Canis lupus familiaris: one gene and its partners. The protein of the gene in region 1 purifies or fractionates together with the protein of each later gene. This does not show direct contact. Links are inferred from orthologs where the notes say so. Each region holds a gene or a part of one and is shown on either strand. Other genes may lie near its edges. The genes, in order: RBBP4, HMGXB4, EED, SAP130, SMARCA1, HAT1 and ARID4A.

Evidence for each region.
Region 2: the proteins of RBBP4 (region 1) and HMGXB4 purify together in Homo sapiens (affinity purification with mass spectrometry; 4 studies listed by BioGRID and IntAct, with this or other methods). This does not show direct contact. The link is inferred for Canis lupus familiaris from reciprocal best matches to the Homo sapiens genes RBBP4 and HMGXB4.
Region 3: the proteins of RBBP4 (region 1) and EED purify together in Homo sapiens (affinity purification with mass spectrometry; 10 studies listed by BioGRID and IntAct, with this or other methods). This does not show direct contact. The link is inferred for Canis lupus familiaris from reciprocal best matches to the Homo sapiens genes RBBP4 and EED.
Region 4: the proteins of RBBP4 (region 1) and SAP130 purify together in Homo sapiens (co-immunoprecipitation; 3 studies listed by BioGRID and IntAct, with this or other methods). This does not show direct contact. The link is inferred for Canis lupus familiaris from reciprocal best matches to the Homo sapiens genes RBBP4 and SAP130.
Region 5: the proteins of RBBP4 (region 1) and SMARCA1 purify together in Homo sapiens (affinity purification with mass spectrometry; 5 studies listed by BioGRID and IntAct, with this or other methods). This does not show direct contact. The link is inferred for Canis lupus familiaris from reciprocal best matches to the Homo sapiens genes RBBP4 and SMARCA1.
Region 6: the proteins of RBBP4 (region 1) and HAT1 purify together in Homo sapiens (affinity purification with mass spectrometry; 5 studies listed by BioGRID and IntAct, with this or other methods). This does not show direct contact. The link is inferred for Canis lupus familiaris from reciprocal best matches to the Homo sapiens genes RBBP4 and HAT1.
Region 7: the proteins of RBBP4 (region 1) and ARID4A purify together in Homo sapiens (co-immunoprecipitation; 4 studies listed by BioGRID and IntAct, with this or other methods). This does not show direct contact. The link is inferred for Canis lupus familiaris from reciprocal best matches to the Homo sapiens genes RBBP4 and ARID4A.

The regions. Positions count from the first base shown.
Region 1 is NC_049223.1:68,048,063-68,051,562, forward strand, and holds part of RBBP4 (histone-binding protein RBBP4), read right to left. Parts: intron 938-3,500; coding exon 792-937; intron 1-791. UniProt on the Homo sapiens protein: Core histone-binding subunit that may target chromatin assembly factors, chromatin remodeling factors and histone deacetylases to their histone substrates in a manner that is regulated by nucleosomal DNA.
Region 2 is NC_049231.1:29,846,124-29,849,623, forward strand, and holds part of HMGXB4 (HMG domain-containing protein 4), read right to left. Parts: intron 3,357-3,500; coding exon 2,404-3,356; intron 1-2,403. UniProt on the Homo sapiens protein: Negatively regulates Wnt/beta-catenin signaling during development.
Region 3 is NC_049242.1:13,357,256-13,360,400, forward strand, and holds the end of EED (polycomb protein EED), read right to left. Parts: intron 2,231-3,145; coding exon 2,072-2,230; intron 1,410-2,071; coding exon 1,336-1,409; intron 837-1,335; coding exon 710-836; 3' UTR 501-709; downstream 1-500. UniProt on the Homo sapiens protein: Polycomb group (PcG) protein. Component of the PRC2/EED-EZH2 complex, which methylates 'Lys-9' and 'Lys-27' of histone H3, leading to transcriptional repression of the affected target gene.
Region 4 is NC_049240.1:23,957,439-23,960,938, reverse strand, and holds part of SAP130 (histone deacetylase complex subunit SAP130), read right to left. Parts: intron 3,209-3,500; coding exon 2,973-3,208; intron 2,250-2,972; coding exon 2,091-2,249; intron 933-2,090; coding exon 821-932; intron 1-820. UniProt on the Homo sapiens protein: Acts as a transcriptional repressor. May function in the assembly and/or enzymatic activity of the mSin3A corepressor complex or in mediating interactions between the complex and other regulatory complexes.
Region 5 is NC_049260.1:101,600,178-101,603,677, reverse strand, and holds part of SMARCA1 (probable global transcription activator SNF2L1), read left to right. Parts: intron 1-263; coding exon 264-412; intron 413-1,203; coding exon 1,204-1,323; intron 1,324-3,500.
Region 6 is NC_049257.1:16,673,778-16,677,277, forward strand, and holds part of HAT1 (histone acetyltransferase type B catalytic subunit), read left to right. Parts: intron 1-1,324; coding exon 1,325-1,476; intron 1,477-3,500. UniProt on the Homo sapiens protein: Histone acetyltransferase that plays a role in different biological processes including cell cycle progression, glucose metabolism, histone production or DNA damage repair. Coordinates histone production and acetylation via H4 promoter binding.
Region 7 is NC_049229.1:34,013,709-34,017,208, reverse strand, and holds part of ARID4A (AT-rich interactive domain-containing protein 4A), read right to left. Parts: intron 2,932-3,500; coding exon 1,798-2,931; intron 1,551-1,797; exon of another isoform or gene 1,123-1,550; intron 1,110-1,122; coding exon 1,005-1,109; intron 1-1,004.

The DNA of each region.
Region 1 (3,500 bases):
GGGAGAAGCAGGCTCCATGCACCGGGAGCCCTGATGTGGGATTCGATCCCGGGTCTCCAGAATCGCGCCCTGGGCCAAAGGCAGGCGCCAAACTGCTGCGCCACCCAGGGATCCCCGGATTCCCACATTTAAAGACTTGTTCTCATACATCCCCCTCTCCAAGAACCAATTTTAACCCCCCATAGGGGCAATTATCTCCCATGCTGAGAAAGAATGCATGCATGCACAGCAATAATAAATGGTGGACTTTGGGGGCACCTGGCTGGCTCAGTTGGTAGAGAACATGACTCTTCATCTTGGGGTTGCAAGTTCAAGCCCTATGTTGGGTACAGAGATTACTCAGAAATAAAATCTTAAAAATAAACAAAAATAAAGGGGCACCTGGCTGGCTCAGTCAGAAGAGCACATGACTCTTGATCTCAGGGTTGAGTTCAAGCCATACATTGGGTGTAGAGATTACATAAATAAAACTTAAAAAAAAAAAAAGAAAAGAAAAGAAAAGAAAGGAACAAATGGTGGATTTTGTCTTCTTTCAATTCTAGAAACTACCCTCCCCCCCAATTTAGGAGAGGAAGGTTTCTAGAAAAGACATAGAACCAAGTATGCTTTAACTATGTCTTCTGACATCTCAGTTTGCACCTGTATTACAAACTCGGGTTTTCCAGAGCTCAAAATATTACTACTAACTTAACAAACTAATTTATCAAACTTTACGCCCTTTTCAAGTAAATTCAAAGATATGAAAGATACTACCCATACATCATTCCTTCTTTCACTTTTAAGATTCCTACCTCCTTTCTCACTGTCGTAGTGTGAAGCATCAAACTGAGCATCATCGTTAGGGAGCTGCACACTGGCTATCACAAGATGGTTTTGTTCATCCGACGTGTGTGTTCCCAGGACAAGTCGATGAATGCTGAAGTCTTTCCCTTCTGGTCTGTAATAGCAGTATATGATCACTATTCAAATTATTAACACTAAGAGAGACAATGAGGTCAGTGATACACATGTATGGAAAAAGCACTATTACAACCAGGTTTCGAGAAGAAAATCTTATTAGAGGAAAGAAAATAATGTCAGGTAAACTAAATGTTCAAATATTTACTGAGTGCCTAATCAGTGGACAAACTGCACCAAATACTATGAAGTACAAAAATGATTAAGACGTGATTCATGCACTCAAAAAACCGGGGCAATTAGATAGTCATGTCCATAAATAACAAAAATATAAGCCAATAAATACATTAAAGGTACACAAGATGGGAATTTAGATAAGAAAGATTACTTCTGGAATTAAGGAAGCATCCGTGAAAGAGGCAGATGTCAAAATGAGATATAAAACCCAGAAGAGACAAGGGCTCTGGAAGAGAATTCCAAGGAAAGGGAATTGAGAAAGGGTAGGCTCACAAAATGTCAGATACCTAAGTACTTTACAAACTACGTATCACTTAAAGATGAATATATTTGAGGTTTATGAAAATGAGGCAACCTGCCTAAATAAGATCACATAACTACTAAGACTGACACCTCAATCTGACTTTGGATGTGGGAAATGAAGTCAGAGAGAAGGCTAAAAAATAGATTCTAGTATACTGAATGCCATCTTAAGGCATTCACAACTCTACTGTAGGGAAAACAAACAATCATGGAAAATTTCTAAGGGATCTAGCACCATCTGAATTACCACAGAAGAATTAACCCAACAGTGTAAAGCAGAGGTTCTTCAAGTGTGGTATCAGGACCGACAGCATTAGCATCATCTAGGAACTTCAGCTAGAAAGGCAAATTAAATTTTCAGATTCATCCCAGACATAATAAATTAGGAACTTGGGATTCGGGGTACAATGATCCACCTTATAATCCCTCCAGCTGATTATGATTCATGTTCAAGTTTAAGAACCTCTGTTCTAGGGGATCCCTGGGTGGCTCAGAGGTTTAGTGCCTGCCTTCGGTCTAGGGTGTGATCCTGGAGTCCCGGGATTGAGTCCCACATCAGGTTCCCTGCATGGAGCCTGCTTCTCCCTCTGCCTGTGTCTCTGCCTCTCTCTCTCAGTCTGTCTCTCATGAATTAAAACAAAACAAAACAAAACAAAACAAAAAACAAAAAAAACCTCTGTTCTAGAAATGATATTACCCAAATAGAATTCACTGGAGTTATCTATGCACTGTCAAGTGGAAAAAAGAGAAAAACTTAGGAAACATCAAACCAAAGTCAAGTATGATAAAGAGAAATAGGAATGATAGGCGAAAGCTAGGGCGGGACCTCTATGCAAAGAATATACTCAGTTTGGAACATGTGATGTTGGGGAAAACAGATACTCCAAAGAAGATACCAGTAGGCAGCTGTAAATTCAGGAAAAGCTCAGAGGTTGGGTCTAGAGATAACCAATAGGAATTCCTCTGTACAGAGGCAATATACATCTATATCCTACATAGAAAAATAGAGGAAAGAGAGCCATCAATGTAAAACTGAGAATGCCTGCATTTAGAAGGTTAAACAAAGAACCAGAGGAAATGAGCAAAGAAGGTTATAGAATTGTAATTGTATTTTTTTAAAAAAAGATATGAATACCACTACCGTCACTACCACAGACAAAAATTTAAACACTTGACATTAGGTATGCTTGTTTCTAAATAATCTTCATCTTAGAAAAAACAAATTAAAGAAATGTCTGGGTGGCTCAGTTGGTTAAGGGTCTGCCTTTGGCTCAGGTCATGATCTCAGGGTCCTGGGATGGATCCTCTCCCTGCTAAGCGGGGCGTCCGCTTCTCCCTCTCCCTCTGCCCCTTCCCCCTGTTCGTGCAAATGAAATGAGCTCTCTCTCTCACAAACAAATAAATAAAAGTCTTTATAAAAAAATTAGTATCGTTGGGGTGCCTGGGTGGCTCAGTTGGTTAAGCATCCAACTGGTGATTTCTGCTCAGATCATTACCTCATGGGTCATGGGATTCAGCCTTGCATGGGGCTTCACACTCAACAGGAATCTCCCCCTCAAAATAAAAAAATAAATCTTCATTATGTATAAGGTACAAAAAACAGAAGATAAAGAACAGGAATTTGGACCAAGGTCAAACCCTGCAAAAAGGTTTATTTACCTAGTTCCACTAAATGAGAAAACTACTAAGATAGATTTCAACGTTGGCGAATTTAGTTAATTCACTGCTTTCTAGGTTGAGATCATTACAGAATTATATAGGAAGATTTTTAAAAATACTGGCTCCCAAATGACTTAGTAGGTGGCCAATATATTTGGGATCCACTGATCCAGTATGATATAGCTCATGACCATGGAATCATCATTCAACTATTTTTCATCAAATACGCTGCCATCAGTTTCTTTTTTTAAAAGATTTTATTTATTCATAAGAGACACAGAGGCAGAGACACAGAGGGAGAAGCAGGCTCCCCTTAGGGAGCCCAATGCAGGACTCAATCCTGGATCTCGCCCTGAGCCAAAGGCAGACGCTCAACCACTGAGCTTCCCAGGCATCCCTGCCAC
Region 2 (3,500 bases), on another chromosome or scaffold:
AGACAGATGTAAAAATGAAATATAAAACTGGGAAAAAAATCAGAATAGTGGTTGGCTCCAGGGGTAAGGACTGACTGGGAAGGGGTATGAGAAAGCTGTTTCAGATGATAGTAATGTCTGTATCTTGACAGAGGTTTGGTCACGTTTGTGCGCATTTGTCGAAACTCACCAAATGGTATATAAACATGTGTACGTTTGTGCATAAGTAAATTCTAGTGGAAAAAAAAAAAAGCCCTGAATTCAGATATTAAACCTAAATTAATGATATGCAGGCTGAAGTCTTTAGGGGTGTGTATGGTATCTATAATTCACATTATAGATGTATAATTTACATTATATTTATAATACATTATAAAAGTTGGATTGATAGATGGACAGGTGTGTGATGAAGCAAAGAGCAAAACAGTAATTACAGAATCTCATTGGGTGGCATATGGTGTTCACTGTACAATTTCAAAGCTTTTTGTTTGGAAAGTTTCATGATGAAGTGTTGAGAAAAATGATTATAAGCATATAGTTTCGGGGCAGCCCAGGTGGCTCAGCAGTTTAGCGCCGCCTTCAGCCCAGGACCTGATTCTGGAGACCCAGGATCGAGTCCCATGTCAGGCTCCCTGCATGGAGCCTGCTTCTCCCTCTGCCTGTGTCTCTGCCTCTCTCTCTCTTTGTATCTCTCATGAATAAACAGATAAAATCTTAAAACAAAAAAAAGCATATAGTTTTGAGTTTGGGTTGACTGGAAGGACACAGGGAACACAGAAGCAGGTGGAGGAGGAGCTGCAGGTTTGGGAATCTGGATGATGAGCATAATTAGTGACACACGGGTATGAAGAACCCAAGGCATCTAGGTGGAAATATTTATCAGGCAGTTAGAAACGCAGGATTAGAGTTCACTTGTTTTGCTAGGCTACTTCGTAAATGTCTTTCTGCTTTCTTGTGTTCCCTTCCACTGAAATCCTTTCTCTTCTATAGGCTTTCTCTGACCACCCTGCCCTCCTCTATTCAGTGCTGTAAGATTAGTTATGGCTCTATCATATATTACTAGAATGGAAATTCTCAGGAGAAATAACAATCTTACACAGAATATGTATGATTTAACGAAGCAATTTTCAAATAAACAAATGAATATAAACCTGACCTAATAATTGACTATCCAGTTCTTTATGCTTACACTCATTCTTGGCTTGGAAGGTATAGTTTTGCTTTTAATTTCTGAGATATACATACTTAAAAGGCACTCTTTGGAGTACCTGGGTGGTAGAGTCAATTAGGCATCTGCCTCTTGGTTTCAGCTCACATCATGATCTCAGGGTGTTGAGATCGAGCTCTGCACTGGGCTAAGCACAGAGCCTGCTTAGTTTCTCTCTTCTTCTCCCTCTACTCCTGCCGTGCGCACGTGCTCTCTCTAAAATAAAGAAATCTTAGGAAAAAAAAAGATAACTCTTTGTAGTGGGAAACATAATTTACACCTCAATTACAGACTGAAGTGAAACTGCCATTTCCAAATTCTTAATATACTTGACTTTTTCCTTCTTAATATCGCCTCTTTAATCTGACATTTCAGTTTGCATTACTCTAAACAAAGGAAGAAAATGGTTGTCCTTAGGTGGAAAAACTAAGTTTTTTGACCTTCTTCTTTCCACAAGTCTGAATTTCTAAATTTCTATAAAATTAATACATTACTTTGATAACAGGGGAAACAGCTTATTTTTTTTTTAACAGAAAACCTTTAGTAACATAGTCTCAGCCCTGAAAGTACAACTGCTAGATTTCTTGAGCTGCAGGAAAGTTCAACCAAGGTCGCTGATTTCTCCTTCCTATCTCCTCAGCAATCAGTGTGCTCCTGAAGGTCTGGAGCTATGTCCTGCCCAGCTTGGCACCTCTCTACACCACCTAGAGCACTGGGCTGGGTAAACAGCAAGCACTTGCCTGTTGAAAGAACATACATTTGACACTAAAAATAATACCAGAAAGTGGCCCACACCAGTTAGCGGAAGGCCATTAATTCATTCCATTAACCTGGGTCATTATTTTCCTAATTTTGAAAATGTGTTTCCCAAAATGAACTAGAAAATACCTTTTCATCTCTCTCAACTGCCCCAGGCAGACAGTGCTGCCCAGTGAAAGGAACTGGGTTCGGCTTCTTCCGTGAATTCCAATTTCAACGGTATCCCTAAACCTATGCTTGGCACGATGGGAGACCACCATTATCAAAAAACCCATGAAAAATTAAGATTGCTCCTGTTTTTGAACTGGAGAGACTTGGTCCCTGGCAATATCTTACACCTCATGTCATCCCATGAGATTGGCCTCACCACACTCCCTGCGGTTCACCTCAGCTGCCTAATTCCAAGTCCACTTACTACTATCATCACTCACTCCCCAACACTTAAAAAAATGGTTTACCTTTTCTCCTCTCTCTCTCTCTCTGTCTTTCTCCTCTTTTTTCTTTTTTTTCTCACCGTGCCCATCCGTGTGGAGGCTGGGCAGGGGAGGGGGAGGGGCAGCAGCTCCAGTGTGTGGGACGCTGGGAGGAGGAGGGCCAGGTGTGACCTCTCCTGCTGGGGCAGCTGCAAGGCCTGAACTTCTCTTGGACTTGGAGTGCCGCTTCTCTTTATGCTTCTCCTTGTCCTTCTTCTTTTTGCTCTTCTTGGACTTCTTTTTCTTCTTGATTTCCCGGTAAGAGTCATCAATGACTAACTCCCCGGCCTCTAGCTCCCCACCAGAGGAGGAGTCCGATTCTACCAGAATAGGTTCAAGTCCTGAAAGATCAAGGTTAGCACTGTGGGGCTCTGGGAACTGGGAGGCATCTGACCCACAGCCTTCGGGGCCAGGAGAGGAATGTGGGTCTGAGGAGGACTTGTGCTTCTTCCGGGCTGTTTTCAGAAAGCTCTGTAACTCGTGTCCTAGGAGTAAAGCACCTTGCTCATCCCGAGCTGATTTCTTAGAGGATTTTTTCACAGTAGCTTGTTGAGAGGGGTACTGAAAAGGCTCCTCATCAACTGAGCTGCTTCCCTTCTCCTTTGGTGAGAGAATTAGTTTCATCTTTAAGCCATCAGGCTCACGAAGGGTCAGTGTCTCTGTGTTAACATACAGCGGTTTCATTTTTTTTGATTTGTGGGAACCACCGTCCTCCAGGGACAGGTCCCCACTGCTTCCACTTACTTTCTTCCTGTGGTGTTCTTTTTTACTCTCTGAATGACTTGAAGAACTAGAGGACTTTTCCCCTGTCTTTTTGGAGGGTTTGGAGCCTGCTGCCAGTGGGGAAGTGATGGCTTTCAACAGGTCCATGGCTGTATCGGCAGATTGCGGGCTGGACTTTTTCTTTTTCTTCTGTGACGATTCCAAAGACGAAATGTCTGGAAATAATCAAGAGAAGTAATGTCCACATGACAAACCAACTTCCAACAAGTTTCCTCTCTCACCAAAAACACTCAACTAATGTGAGGAAGAGGCTAAGAGAAATGATTTGAGGGGAGTCCCTTCAACTGATTCCTGATGAT
Region 3 (3,145 bases), on another chromosome or scaffold:
TCAGTCAGTTCAGCGTCTGCCTTTGGCTCAGGTCATGATCCCAGGATCCTGGGATCAAGTCCCACTTTAGGATCCTTGCTCAGCAAGGAGTCTGCTTCTCCCTCTACCACTCCCCCTGCTTGTGATCTCTCTCGAATAAATGAATGAATGAATGAAATCTTTATAAAAAAGAAGCAACAATGTATTTAGGGTACATCTGAGTACTATTCCAGCTGCTTCACTTATTTAATCATTTGATCCTTAATAACCCTATGAGGTAGGTATTCTTATCCCTGTTTCACACAAGAAGAAACTGAGGTAGATGTTAAATTACTTAGCTCAGCTCATGTTTGCAGAGCCAAGACTAAAGTCCGCTTAATCCTAGAGCTTACACTTAATCACTACATTATATAGCTTTCTTCAGTTAAAAGGACTACAAAAATGATCATTACAAAAAAGAAAGGGAATACTTTTATTACTTTCAACATTTCTTTTTATCACAATGAAAATAAACACACAGCTTTACAAAAATAAATTTTTATTAAAAGCAGTAGAGTCTGAGCAGAAGACAGTACAAAGAATGTAAACAATGTAAACATCACTACATTCAGCTCAGCCTGATTGAATGCTGAAAGACAACTCTAAATGCTCTATGTGCCCTTACTAGCAAGATACATTAATTCTATTATACACAGAAAACACACTCTAATTTTGATAAGGAAAAAATATTTTATCGAAGTCGGTCCCAGCGCCAAATACTGGCATCATCACAAACAGCTATAAGAATACTGCTATCCCTGCTAAAACTGGTTTGTCGAATAGCAGCACCACATTTATGATGAGTCAGTGTTGTACATCTAGGAAAAAACAAGACAATAGGTTAAAAGCCATTCATAAATATTGTCAGTAGCAAATTAAACCAACGAATAAGAAAACAAACAGATGTTCCAAGTCATATGGAAAGCATTTAAAATATCACTAAGAGCTCAATCTCTAATTTCATAACATTTGGGTATATTTTAAATTAATAAAAAGAAAGGTGTAACTTGTCACCAAAGTACTCATGATAAACAGCCATTATGAGAATAAAAAATATTTTTAAATAACTGAGTCATATAAATGTTAAAAATGATTTAAGAATGATACTTCAAGGGATCCATGGGTGGCTCAATGGTTGAGCGTCCCAGGTTGTGATCCCGGAGTCCTGGGATTGAGTCCCAATCAGGCTCCAAGCACGGAGCCTCCTTCTCCCTCTATGTGTCTCTGCCTCTCTGTGTCTCTCATGAATAAATTAAATATTGGCATAGCGTTTGAGAAAAAGACAGAAATTATCAATAAAAATTTCTAAATACTTACTTAGCTTTATGAGGATCTTCCACTTCTAAATCCCAAACATAAAGTTTGCCAACCTGATTGCCCAATGCAAGCATCTGTATAAACGTATTTTTAAAAACACCAAATTATTAAAATAGGCTATAGAGCATTCAAATATTCCTAAGATATATTCATATTTCATAAAAACCTCAGTTCCAGACTATGGCTATACTCCTGATTATTTCTATTTCTTTGTATCTTATACTTCTGATTCGTAAATGGATAACAGCAACTTATACTTCAGAGGCATCCTGAGCAAATTAGAAGGCAAATTTATGAAGGACTTTACAATTTACATTGTAGCAAAAGCTACAGACAGCTCCTCCAAAGTTTTCTTATAGAAATAAATACCCAGATAATTTGTTACTACAAATTCATAACACCAATCTCTAAAATTTCTCTAAGCTTTTCTACAAAAAAGCTATTTAAAAAGTTAACATTCAATCACCATAACATTAAATCTTAGTAACAGATGTTATGGAAAGTAAGCACCATTGCCAAGATTGACACCTGTCAACTGCATTTATAATACGCACTGCAAATGGTGTGGAGAGCCTACTCTATAAAGATAGAATAAATAACATCAACGGCTAAAGTAATCAATCACTACAAGATATCAAGGTAGATTCTTAGAGGAAACTGAACATGGATGCACAACAGAGAAAAGTGAAATTACAATGGTCTGAAGTAATTTTAAAATGTAGAAATATGTTGCTACCTTTTGCCAGAAATCCATAGAAAACCTCATGTACCAAATGTCACACTGGCTGTAATCGAATCGCCCAAGAATAGTCACATTAGACTCACTGGGTTTAATTTTATCTATATCATCTTCCATTTTGCCAGGTTTCCAGCACACAATGGCATTTTCACAAGACTTTAGAAGACAGAAATGAGAAAAAATTGTTACATATAGAACTGAAATTTAAAACTTAAAACAAAGCCTTCTTTTCTCTATTATCTTTTTAGAATTGACAGTCTTAAGACCTGGTTATCCATCTAGTAGATACAGTGATATACATTTATTTATATTTACAGAGTCAAGGTCCACACTTGAGGATAAGAGGTCATCTTACAACAGAATTTGACAATATTAAAAAGCATTATATTATCTGGAATATCCATTTTGAAGTCAGAATTTCTTTTCCAAACCAAATTCAGCTCTCAATACTCTGGCATCCAGAGACTTGAGTGTTTTATAACATTTGTTATAAAATATAAAATATAAAATTAAAAAATATATATATAAAATTATATGTTATAAAATATAAAATTATAATTTATAAAATTATAAACGATAAAATTATAAAAACTCTATACAAAAATATGCTTTTCAGTATGGCCCCTGCTTAGAGGCCTTAAAAATCATATTATATAGAAGGTAATAAACTCAGTGGTTTAAATCAAGACATTGATATGGGGATACGACTGAAATAGACTAAGTTATACTTTTCTTATTCTGTAACATAGTATCTTTGCTGAAAAAAAACTGCAACACAGTGGGCACTATTCATATTATAGGTCAGTGGTGTGCCAATTAAGGAACATTTGGCAATGTCCCTGGCCTTTAGCAGGTAGAGGCCAGAGATGCTGCTACATCCTACAATCAATATACAGGATGGCCCCTCCCATTAAAAATAAAGATTGTGTAGCCCAGTATTTCAACAGAACCTGGACTGAGAAATTCCTGTTGGTAGAGAGCTTTCCGGAGTTTTACAGGACACAGCCCACACAGCCACATGTTGCAGCTCTGCCCGTTTCACTAACATATGAATGGTTCAAAAGCAGGGCC
Region 4 (3,500 bases), on another chromosome or scaffold:
GAAACTGGATGCTGCTTTTTTTAACTGCAAGTATGTAGAAGCAAAGCACATTGAATAGCACAGTGTGGTGCCACTGCCTCCATTTAGGCCAAGGCTCCAGCACTGTAACCACTGGTGAGGGTCCACTGCCTTTGTATCGTCAGTGCGAAGTCAACATGGTACAACAGGCAAATGATGTCTCAGTATTTTCACAAAAGTAGTTTTGACCTAACACAGACACTCTTGTGAACTTCACTCTGAGAAAAACTGAATTATGTTATGACCAAGTAAACCTGGTTTTGTACTTATGAGCCTGATTTTCCCAAAGATGATTTTACAATCACCAATAGAAGGCTACAATTTCTGATCAAGTAGTTGAGAAAACTCATTCAGTTTAATATTTGACTACCTATTAGAACTTAATTGTAAGAATAAATTCATCTTACGGCTATGTTACTTGAGTAACTGTTATCAATAAACTTTAAGAATAATCCATGTTTGTATTTCTGACTAAGAAAGAAATTAATAATGAAGACCATTTTGGACTATCATAGCTTTGAGGAGTTCCTCATTATACAGGACAATCCTTAGACCATATTAAAATTTGAACTGCTTTAAGTTTACACATACCTTTAAGTTTACATACACACACAAACATACACGCACTTGTTGAAATACAACTATAATTCGCATACTAGACCATGCTCAAAATGTGTCTTATTTCTGTTGTCCTGTCACTTTAATAAGATGATTCTAGAAATATTTTTTGTTAATGGTAACAAAAATCTCTTACCAAACGTATATTTCACCATCACATTTTAACAATTTGTGCAGTCTTTACCTCGAGGTAAATGGGAAGCTCCGATGTGAAGAGGGGGACCAGGAGCATTGCTGCGGATAATAGACATCTGTACATTTGTGGTCATGATATGATGCAGGTTACTGGGATGCCCCTGCAAGAGACAGAACGTAATATTATTTTCATGTGCTTGGTTTTAGCCATTGATGCTTAGCCATTGCTTCTAGGTCAGCTGCCTCCAACTGTGGGTTGTTCCTTTTAGGCAGTGAGAATCCCAAGGGAAAGGATATACAACATATGCATGATGACCTATGCCAGCAGGCATGTAGTGACTGTGAGGGCCCTCCAACGCCTCAAGGCTAGCTGGCTAGCTTGTGTTAGGTCTCTAACAGATGGACACATATGACTGCCCACTTTGGGACACTCTCATCTTCAATATTAGTCTTTCACACTTGTTTTCTCTGCCTTGGCCAAAAGCTTATTTTTCCCTATTCTATTTCCTTTACATGCTACTGCATTCATCCATCCTTTATGCTATGCAGGACTTCTAAGTAAATGGCAATTAGCACCCAGCAGGTACTCCCCTATGAATTCTTCAGCTCCCTGCTTAGATGTCCCCTCTCACATGTTCCCAGGACTGACACCATTCCCAGGTGGGGGTTCCGGTACTTCTGGAAGTACTCAGCAGTATGACAAAAGGAAGAAAACATAGTATGTCTTCTTGGAATACCAACTTTTTCTTGAAAACTTGAAGGGAAAGGTTTTAGATTCAGGTTTTTTTACTCAGTAATTCAAAATATTAAAAAAAATCATATACATATTGTGGAGTAGGAGAATTTCAGGAAAAAATTAAAGTTAAATCATGAAACTACAAAATAAGTGTTCATGACTGACAAGATGCTTGACGGAACCTGCTAGGCGCCCAGGATACATATTCATTCTCCTCAGAGAAAATTCTAGAGAAGCACTACTGCCATGAGGCTATTCTTAATCCCACAAAACTGGACTCTGAGCACTCAAGGACACAGACTATCTTATCTAGATTTTTATCTCACACCAAAGGCAGTGCCTCACACACAGCAGATGCTTCATACATACTAGCCAAATGACAAACACCACTGTGCAGTGCATGTTAGTTTTACTCCCTGTAAACAGCCTTCTCTCTCAAACCTACTATCTCCCCCTTGCAGAGATCAGTGACCATTTAATTTTTTACTTAGTACAGTGCCCAATGTACTGCTGGCATTCAATAAATAATGATCAACAGTTTGGCATCTCTGTTTGAAAATCAGCAAATTAAGAGGAAAAAAACCTGTTGTCCACTGATTGTTGCCACAGGAATGGCTGAAGCTTGAGGGATGCTACTCTCCATGGTAACGGTAACCTGCCCTGGAACCTTGGGGGGAAGTGACAAGGTAGAAGGTGGAGCAGGAGCAATGGGACGGCTAGGCATGGTGGGCTTCGGGGGCGGCTGCAAACAGAAAACCACACGAAACATATCAATAGCTTTTTATGAGTGATGCATTCATTCTATAGTTAAAAGTACACAAATCAAACCTGGAGAACACCAGGAGAGATCTAGAAGCCTTATATATTTTATCTCTTAGCATCACAGCTTTTCCATTGAAGTACCGGCATTTCCATTTTACAGATGAGGAAACATACAAAGCAAGGCTATGTCACCTGCTCAAAGCCACACAGACCGTAAAAATTGGAACTGGGACCAAGACCCAGATCGTATGGCTCACAGCCCACATTCTTTCTTCTATACAATTCTGCATCCTAAGTTTGGGTGGAAGTAAATAAAACTCCCAGTAACTGAAACATAGCTACGAAGTAAAATACAAGGCAATATTTTCGGATACTCCCGTATTACCAAGTTTTAAAACAAAATTTTGGAGAAGAGTGCCACTCCAAGATAAAATCTGAGTTAGCATGCCCATAACTTGAATAAAATCAATGTCAAAATAATGGACACTAGAAAAGATCCTGTGATGCCAACTGCCCAGCGGCACAAGACTAGGCACTGCAGAATAGCAGAGCTCTAAGTGACAGAGAAGAGCTATACTGGTGGGTCAAAAAGAAAACACTAAGATCCTGGATATGGCCTAAGACTTTGTGAAAATTGTCAGGAAGATTATTAGCCAGTCTTTTTAGCTGTGGTTTAATGTGAAATTTAAAACCTCTCCATTACCTTCATAAGTCCCTCCGAAAAGGAGAGTGGCACTGCTGGCGTCAGATGTGCTGGTGGGGCTGTCACTGTGACAGGTGTGCCCGATGCAACAGCATGGTGTGTAGACAACATCTGCACCTGTGGATAGGGCCTTACCACAACAGGCTCTTGCTTCTCTTCTCGGGACTGTAGGGAGCTGCTGGAACCCATGTGCTCCCTGGCAGTGACTTCAGCCTCTCGACTAGATTCATCATTGACTAGTAAGGACAGAAAGGGAGAAATAGCATGTCATATGCTTCCAATATTAATTAATATTAATGAATTACACAGCACGTACAAGAGTGGCATTGGCATACAGGTAAATTTCAGGGTTGATAAAGTGGCTATTTCTTTGTGAGATTTTCTTAAGGAGAATTTGGGCATTAGGTTCCCCAACAGATATCAAACCCAAGAGCCACACCCATGGAACACAGGCCTTTTTTTGGATATTGTAGCTTTTCCACTCCTATGAACAAAGGGCCTGATAACTATCTAAAATGAACTCAAACA
Region 5 (3,500 bases), on another chromosome or scaffold:
AACTGTAAAGCTTTACTTACAGTTAAATGTACTAGTGTCTGATTAAAACTATTATGCTATGCTTTCTCTGGAATATAATTGAATACAAAACTTCTATTATTATTATCTATTATATTATATATCTATTATTATATATATATTATCTATTATATTATATATCTATTATTATTATCTATATTATTATATATCTATTATCTTCTAATATTATTATCTATTATAATTGAATACAAAACTTCTATTATTATTATCTTTATTATTATTAGGAAGACTCATTGACCAGCAATCTAACAAGCTGGCAAAAGAGGAAATGTTGCAGATGATACGTCATGGAGCCACCCATGTTTTCGCTTCTAAAGAAAGTGAGCTGACAGATGAAGATATTACAACTCTTCTGGAAAGAGGAGAAAAGAAGGTTAGTTAAAATGTCATTTGTTTTCATGATGAATTGCTTTAAAATCAACATACTTCAGCATGCTTAATTGGATTTGTGTTGTTTCACATGACTCATGTTCTCTCTAAGGATTTGTGGATTTATATCCAGAGGTAGTTTAGGGTTTTTTAGTTTAATTTTTGTTAAGAACGACTAAGAACTAGAGTTTAAAAATGAGTGATCTTACATCTCACGTTTATTGAAAATAATGTTGGTATTTACTTAAAAGCCAAATAAATTTCATGTTTAGTCACATATCAGGACTACATTTTTGCAACCTTTTTCTTGCACTGGATTGGAAATTATTTTCTCACACATTGTGTTAAGTGAAAACCTTTTGTGAACATTTCATGAAATATTAAAGCATTATTTGTTAAAGTCTAATAAACTATTTCAGAATATTGCAATTTTGTGTTGAATTTACCTTTTTTGGTGGGGTTCTGAAATAGTTCTATTCTAGTCCTACCTTCTTTTTTTACAAATTACTTTGGACAATTTCAAATACACATAAAAATAGGTATTATATGACTACATCTTCACTGATAAAAGACTTTAAAGAAAGCCTGAGAATACTTGAATACCTATTTAAATATTTAAAGTACTTGGAGCAAGTAGAATTTATATTCATTTAGTATTAGCATTGCATTCTTACCGTGTAAATTAACAGATTGGATATTTCATGTCAAACCTGACTTTTAAAAAGCTAGAGAGCCCACAGATTTTTTATAAGTAATTCAGCAATAATTTTCTAATTTCAATGCATTGAACTGTAGACTGCAGAGATGAATGAACGCTTGCAGAAAATGGGAGAGTCTTCTCTGAGAAATTTTAGAATGGATACTGAACAAAGTTTGTACAAGTTTGAAGGAGAAGATTATAGAGAAAAACAGAAGGTAACTTTTTATTCTCAGCCATTAGCCTCTCAAATTAGCATTTCTTCCCATAACCATTATTAAAAAACACTGACGGGGTGCCTGGCTGGCTCAGTCTGTAGAGTGGTGACTCTTGATCTTGGGGTTGTGAGTTCAAGTCCCATGTTGGGTGTAGGGATTACTTAAAAATATAAAGAAATAAAATTAAAACAATAATAAAATTTAAAAGACCCTACTGACACTCTCCTATTACAATGCTCTGCTATGGAGTGAAATTTGATGTAGGTCAAATCTCCTGCAAGTGCTATGTTTAATAAACTTAAACTTAAGCTGGATGATGATGATTGCCATCATGCTCATCATCATTTTTGCTGCTTTTGATACTGTTGTTTTCAAGAAGCAGTACAGTACTGTGGTGGAGTTCCTGAATTCTGAAGCTGAAATCCCAACTGTATCACTAATTCAGTAACTTTGGGCACTTATTTTTCTCCTGTCAGATGGAGGGTATAGTAATATATGGCATGGACAGCAAAAGTCCTTTGAGGAAATAGAGGAGTTTTATTTATTTTGTTTCAAGTTATGGCTATAACTAAAAATTTTTAGATTTAGAAATTATTTGTACAAAAAATATAGAGTTCTCATATATCTTTCAGCTAGCTTCCCTTAATATTAACAATTTACATAATCATAGTACAATGATCAAATCCAGGAAATTAACACATTTTCTCCTTAATGTTCTTTCTCTTTTCTGGGGGATACAAACCAGGATCTCACATTGCAATTTGAAAAATCTCTATTTTTAAGATCACTTTTAGATTCACCACAAAATCAAGTGAAAAATACAGAGTTCCCATATTCTACCTCTCCCAAACATCGCCTACTACACTATCAATCTCACATCACAGTGGTACATTTGTTACATTTGAACCTACACTGACACATCATTATCATCCAAAGTCCATCTTTTATGTTAAGGTTCACTTTTTGTATTGTACATTCTGTGGATTCAGATAAATGTGTAATGACACGTATCCACCATTATAGTATCATACAGAGGAAATTCACTGCCCCCTAAAAGCCCTCTGTGTTCTGCCTATTCATTTCTCCCTCCTTCTGTAGCCTCTGGCAACAACTAATCTTTGTACTACCTCCATAGTTTTGCTTTTTCCAGAATATCGTATAGTTGGAGTCCTATAGTACATAGCTTTTTCATATGGGCTTCTTTCATTTAGTCCTTTGCCTTTAAGATGCCTTTGTGTTTTTTCATGGCTTCATAGTTCATTTCTTTTTTAGTACTGAGTAATACTCCATTGTCTGGATGTATCACTATTTATTTATTCATTCATCTACCAGAAGACATCTTGGTTGTCTGTAAGTTTTGGCAGTTCTGAATAAAGCTGTCAAAATCTTTGTGCAGGTTTTTGAGTGTACATAAATTTTCAGCTCTTTTGGGTAGATGCCAAGGAGCATGACTGCTAGAGCATATGGTAAGCTTATGTTTAGTTTTGTAAGAAGCTGCTAACCCTTCTTCCAAAGTGGCCATACCATTTTGCATTCCCATGACCAATGAATGAGAATTCCTGTTGCTCCATATCCTCACTAGCATTTGGTGTTCAGTGTTCTGGATTTGGCCTAATAGGTGTGTAGTAGTATCTCATTCTAATTTGCATTTCACTGACATAAGATGTTGAGCACCTTTTCATTTATTTCTATCTGTATATCTTCTTTGGTGAGACATCTATTCAGGTTTTTTGCCCATTTGTAAAATCAGGTTGTTTTCTTAGTGTTGAATTATAAGTTTTTTGTATATTTTGGATAACAGTCCTTTATAAGATGTGTCTTGCAAGTATTCTTTATGTGCATTTTTCTTATTCTCTTGACCCACATTGCATTTTTTTGCTGTGTCTTTTTAGGTTCCTTAATTTGAATTAGTCCTCAACCTTCTTTTGTCTTTCATGATCTTTACACTTTTGAAGAGTATTTGTTAGTTGTTTTGTAGTTTTGGGGTTTGTTTGACATTATCTCATGATTGGATTGAGATTATGTATTCTTTGGCAAGAATGCCATGGCAGGGATATTAAGTCTTCAGTATATTTTACCAGGGAATATATGATGTTGTGTCCTATTACAGGAAATATTAACCTTGATCACTTAGTTGAGGTGGTGTCTGCTTTGTTTCTTCACTGTAGAGTTACCAT
Region 6 (3,500 bases), on another chromosome or scaffold:
ATTCTTTCAAGCCTTCTACTGATCATAAAGCAAGAGCTCAGAGAAGTGAGGTGACTTGCTCATAGTCCTACATCTGTGAATGATAGAACTGAGACTCAAACTGATTTTCTCTGTGTAGTCTTCTTTCTCTCCATCATGTTTTGATGTTTTCCTTGTCCACTACATAGTCTAATGTAAGAGAGGAACATAAAGGAAGATCCATGCGATTCAGATCCATTAAAGAAAGGATCAAAATCATATTGTCATTTTATTCTTTGAAAAAAAAAATTGGGGCAGCCTGAGTGGCTCAGCGGTTTAGCGTTGCCTTCAGCTCAGGGCATTATCTTGGAGACCCCGGATCAAGTCCCGCGTCGGGCTCCCTGTGTGGGGCCTGCTTCTGCCTCTGCCTGTGTCTCTGCCTCTCTCTCTCTCTCTCTCTTTCTCTCATGAATAAATAATAAAATCTTAAATAAATAAAATTTTTAAAAAATTTGTAGGGCAGCCTCGGTGGCTCAGCAGTTGAGTGCCACCTTCGGCCCAGGGCATGATCCTGGATTCCCCGGATCGCGTCCCACATCAGGCTCCCTGCATGGAGCCTACTTCTCCCTCTGCTTGTGTCTCTGCCTCTCTCTCTCTCTCTGTCTCTCATGAATAAATAAGTAAAATCTTAAAAACAAGAACCTTTGCTTTCACAATTTTTTTAAATTATATGCTTCTAAATTCTTTTTTTAAAGATTTTTTTTTTTTATTCATGAGAGACACAGGGGTGGGGGAGAGACACAGGCAGAGGAAGAAGCAGGCTCCATGCAGGGAGCCTGACGTGGGACTCGATCCTGGGTCTCCAGGATCACGCCCTGGGCTGAAGGCGGCACTCAGCCGCTGAGCCACCCAGGGATCCCAAAGAGCTTTGTTTTAATTAGGTAAAAGAAGTATAGCAGACTATAAAGATTATTGGATTAAAGTAAGGGAGTTATAAATTGAGCTTTAGAAGGCTTAGCTATCGGAGAATAGTAATGGATTATCCAAACTTTAATCTTTCATTTATACAGTTGCTTTAATTGTAAATAAAACTGAGATGCACACGGTAGATCACACCTGTCAAAAAGTTTACATTTGAAAGTGGCTCTAATTTCACAAATGCTGTAGGTCTTTTCAAAAGGATTGCACCTACAATTTATTTTGGCAAAGATGCTGTTGTTTGATTGATAAGGAATAACTTCTCATTATAACTTTTGCCTTATATAATTCTTTTAAGAATATTTGTTTTCCTAGCCTAGGATTTTTTTGAGATTGCAAATGATGAATTATGTTGGATAAGGGAAATGTTATTCTGCCTTTTCTTCAGCGGAAGATCCATCCAAAAGCTATGTGAAATTAAGAGACTTTGTGCTTGTGAAGCTTTGTCAAGATTTGCCTTGTTTTTCCCGGGAAAAGTTGATGCAAGGATTCAGTGAAGCCATGGCAATAGAAGCACAACAGAAGTTCAAAATAAATAAGGTATTTTTATTCTATAAAGGAAAATGTTACAGTTTTGAAGTTTTCTTTCTCTCTCTCTTTTTTTAAGTACATAACTTAAACATTGCAAGTACATTAAGAATACATGTGTGGGAAGTGGCAGTGGTTGAGAGTACAGGCTCTGAAGGCAAGTTGCCTGCCTGGGTTAAGATCTGGTTACGCTCTGTGACTTAACGGCAGTTTAATTTCCTCATTAATAGAATGGGAAGATAGTTGATTTTATGGCTATATTAAGTGTAACAAGAAGAATAGAATGGAAGGTATCATCTTATTTTTGCTTTTTAAGAAAATGTTTGCTATGGCAAAATAGTTAATTCATGTGAAGTATATATATATTTCTATATATTTGAATTTTAAAGTAGTAAATATCCTAAAATAGGTACAGAAAAAATATTCTGGCAGTTCAGAGGAGGGAATTTAGTTTATTATATTTATGTATGTAAGGGAATCAGAGTTTTTCATGGTACGGAGCTGCATTTGATCTAAGTCTTGAAGAATGGATAGGATTTGGATTATGAAAGTATGTGAGGGGCTCCTCGGTAGCTCATTTGGTTGAGCATCTGACTGTTCATTTTGGCTCAGGTCATGATCTTAGGATCCTGGGATCAAGTCTCATGTCAGGGTTGGCACTCAGCTAGAGTCTGCTTGGGTGTCTCTCCCTTTGCCCCTCCCCCCAGTTGCACGTGGGTGTGCTTTCAAAAGAAAAGAAAAAAAAGAAAAGAATATGAGATGAATAATAAGGACTGGTTTATGATGCTGTTAACCTCTCCTCCCTTGCTTCTAAGGTACCACAGTTCCTGATTTTTTCATTTAGCACTGTGGTCATCTTTTTAGAGATGCTTTTCCTCTTCTGTATGTTCCCTAAAGATGATTCTTCCCCAAAGTTCTTTATCCAGTCTTTATTTTACTTATTCTACCTGGGTGATCTCATTTAATTCTTCAATGTAGATTTTCCTCCTGTATTCCCAACACTGTATATCAAGTGTCCTGGGGCACCTGTGTGGCTCAGTCAGTTGGGTGTCCGACTCTTGATTTCGGCTCAGGTCATGATCTCAGGGTTGTGTGATTGAGCCCCTCATCAGGCTCCCTGTGGGAAGTCTACTTAAGATTCTCTCTCTTTCCCTCTTCCTCTGCCCCTCCCTCCCATGCTCCAGAGCATGCTCTCTCTTCCCCTCTCTCTCTCAAAATAAATGAATCTTTTTTAAAAAAAAGGTTCCTGGCCACTAACCTTCACCAACTTAATTTTTTTTTTAAATATTTATTTTATTCATTAGAGACAGAGAGGCAGAGACATAGGCAGAGGGAGAAGCAGGCTCCTCACAGGGAGCCTGATGCAGGACTCGATCCCAGGACCTGGGGATCATGCCCTGAGCCAAAGGCAGACGCTGAACCTCCAGAGCCACCCAGGTGTCCCACAACAGTTTAATTTGAACTGAAACTTTGCATCTTCTCCTTTACACTTTAATGGCTTCCTGGTTTTAAGATAAATACATGGTTTAGAAATATTCGGTATGTTTAGACTGTATTAAACTTTTAGAGAATTTATTTAGCAGCTAGGCTTTTAAAAGAAAGAGTAGGAACACATTTTTCAAAATTATGCTTTTTTTCTTAAAGGAATTAAAATTTAGTATGGCACACCAAACCCGTCATAATTTGGACCCTGTCAACCTTGGTAGACTCAACTTTCTACCACTTTCCTTCTTGCTCTGGCATTACTAAACCTCTTGTTATTTCCCAACTGTGCTATATCTTTCTTCTTGTTATATCGCTTTATGTTAACTATGCTCTTTGCCTGTGATACCCCCTTCTCTTGTTCCTCCATCTTTGTCTTGCCAGATATAACTCCTCTTTTCAGGCTCAGTTGAGGTCCCTTCTGGAAAGTTCAGACATCATTTTCCCATCTACCTTATACCTGATCTCCCTCTACCCCCAATAAATATATCAGTGAAACAACATAAACAGAAAAACTATGGGCTTTTCTTTTGGCTTCAGTGATACCAAAATTT
Region 7 (3,500 bases), on another chromosome or scaffold:
TCTTCGACAGGAATGTCACAGATGTGCTGCTGTGATAGTACGTGATTTCCATTTGTCACATTACTGGTGATGTTCACTTTGATCGTTTGACAAACGTATCTGCCAAACACTAGGATATTATTTAGTTGCTGTTGATAATTCCTACTGCTTCTCTATCCTCATTTCCCATCATTCCTCCTCTATACTCTACATCTGTATTGTCCAGCCACTGGCCACATGTGACTACTGAGAACTTCATATATGGTTCAAAGGTTTTGCTTTGAAATGCCTTTTATCTTGTATATATTACATGCTCCCTCCATGGGATATGTATCTACTGTAACCTAGAATTTTCCATTCAGACTTGTATGAAGGCATGTTTTGGAGATAAAACTTTGTCAAAATTAATGATGTTTATTTCTATTATGTTCTACGATTTAATTTTATTCCTTATTGTACAGAAGTCTTTCTCATGTAATCTAATTCATACTGATTTTACTAAGTTCCTTGTTTGTTTCCATAAGAATTTTATTATTTGCCTGTTTTAAAAATACCATACTATTCAGAAATCAGCTTTTCTAGATTAAACCATTCCACTCAGAAATGTAAACTTAATCTGCTTTTACCACTAGAGCAAATATTACTTTCCTATTATTCAAGATTCTCAAATACATTCCTCAATATTAAATCACTTTACATAAGAAATACAAATGAAATAAGCATTAAAAACAGCTATCTCAGCTCTAAATAAAATTGGCAAGCCTCTTCAGATTAAAAATTAGTGGAAAAATTGCTATTTCCAGAACATAATAAATCAAACATTACAAAACAATTATTAAATAAATTCTACCCCCCAACATGGGGCTTGAACTCACAAGTCTTGAGATTAAGAGTCACGTATCTACCAAGTAAGCCAGCCAGACATCCCTAAACCAAATTTATTTTTAAACTGACACAAATGATGAAGCCAACAAAATGCTGAAAATATTAGCATTATGCTAAAGCCAGCATTGGAAAGCACCTACCTGTTCCGTTCTTTTCACTTTTGGCTACAGCACTCGTTCGCTTTGGGGTACGCTTTTGCTTTTTTGCCACTAACCCACTATTTCCCTCACTTGGCCTTTTCTGACCTAAAACAAGGGAAAAGAGACAACTTAAAAAATATGTATCTATTTTGGATATGGTTAGTTTATTAAAGGGAGATATGGAAATTATTTACATGATGAAAGATTTCACAACTTCAGTAGAATGGGCACCTTCACATGATGCCATTTCAATAACGATTTATTCAGTCTACATACTTTCTGAGAATGTCACCATCTCTAAATAAAAAATAATCCTTGTTATCTGGAACAACTTGGGTGCCTCCATATTCTGGGAGAAGAACTTTTATCTCCAACTTTCATGCTAACTACTACTGCTGCTTGCAATACTTCTCCTTGAGATTTTTCTGGAAGGATAAGGCCTCCTTTGGTTACAGTTTCAGCTGAACTCCTTTCAACTAAAACTGAGTCAGAGAGGAGAAGAAACTTCCTAAACTCTTGTTCTGCCACAACTCCAGCTACCTCAGTTCATACTCTGCTCTTGAGTCTCTGCCATGGCAAGAACAGCTGTAATTATGCACCTGTCTACTCCACTTGTATTTCTATATATACATCTTTTTTTTTTTAAGGGAGAGGGGGCGGTAGAAAGGAAAGAATGAATATGAGGAAGGGGAGAAGGGAGGGAACTTTTTAGCTCAGGATTTCCTAAAATTCTTAACTTACTAATTTGAGGGTTGAACATACGAGGCTGATATTCTTCCAAGAAAGTCCTTACCCTTCTCTCTGTTCTCTCTTTCTTGAACAATCAGACTACAGGTACTGGAGGCAACACTAGCTTCAAACCCGTTTGCTGATTCCCTCTCACAGAGACCTTCTTGAGATTCTTCAGCAATGCTCTCAACTTCAATGGTTATGTCACTCTCACTTTTTATACTCCGAGACTCATCCTGGCTGAGGGTTAGTGGTGAAGCCACTGAAAAACTATGCTGTACTACGGGAGGGAGGGCTGGCGGCACAGAAACAAGAGAGTTAGACTCAGAGCTTTCCACCACCACATCTTCAATGCTGCTCTTCTCCTTCTCATCCAGATCATCCAAATCGACCTCATGGCAAACCAGAGTCTCAGGCCCAATCAGAGGCATTGCATCCTCCTCTTCTTTCAGTGGAGTATTTACAGTTTCTTCAGCCGGACTGTCAAATTTTTCACTAGTTAATTCTTGAATGCGTTGGCTTGACTCTGCAATTAATGATGGCATTCCTTCATTTTCTATTTCAAAATGTTGTTCAAAATTTAAATTTTTCATTCCCTCAGATGCAACACAGTCACTGGTCTTTTCTTGAGAGATGCTGTTTGTCATTTCCATTCCATTCTCAATTCTTATTTTTTTCTCTGGTGATGACTGTCCCAGTATTTTCCGTTTCAGCTTTTTTTCTTTCGCACATTGGTCAGTGTCATCTTCGGTAGTAGAAGAAAAGTTTTTACTGTCTAACGAAGAAAATTCTAGACTTTGAGCTTCTATATGAGGTTCACTTCCTGCTTCATCTTGGCTAAACGATGAAATCTTTATAAGTTCTAAAGAAAGATCTTTTGTTTTGCTTCGTCTTCCCTTTCCTTTGGGAGACTTTTCAGCTTCTTTCTTAACTTCTTCTACATGTTCCACTTTATTTCCAAAAATCTGTACTATTTGTTCATTCTCTCCAACTTCTAAATTCAGTGTTTCTAAAGGCTGCATTTGCGTCCTTTCATTTTCTTTTAAAATATGTGCAGCAATCTTTGGATTTTCTTCATCTAGTTTATCATCATTTAAATTCTCATTTTTTTCTAGTTCTTTAATATCAGGAGAAAGTTCTTCATTCATCAAATTCTTTTCTAAAAGGTCTTCTGTTTCACTATCAGATGAGCAAGAGTCTGCAAAAAAAAAAAAAATTACATTACACAGGTTTTGAATTACCAATGTAATTTTAGAATAAAAATTCTACCGAAGAGAACTCTTAATCATGTACCTCTGAATACCTCCCTGTAGAAATTTCTGATAAATCATACATTTGTGCCAAAAATGGGAGTGGGGGGTATGTCAAACTCCATGTAAAAATACATTGAAAATATTACTGTCTCAATTCTATAAAAGAGCTATTTTGCATTTTTCACTAGTATCATATTTAGGTGATAGTTATCCTTAGAAAAATCAAAGGACTGAGCCACATGAGTGGCTTAGTCAGTTGAGTGTCCCACCCTTGATTTTGGATCAGATCATGACCTTGGTCTTGGGGTCATGAGATTAAGCGCCCCCACACACACTGAGAACCACACTCAGCAGGGAGTCTGCTTGGGATTCTCTCTCTTCTTCTGCTCCTCCCACTACATGCACTCTAAAATAAATAAATCTAAAAGAAAAATCAAAGGACTAATACTGAGATATTAAGTTAATATATTAAGTGCTTTGATCTAACAGGTACTGATTAATAAATGTGATGGGC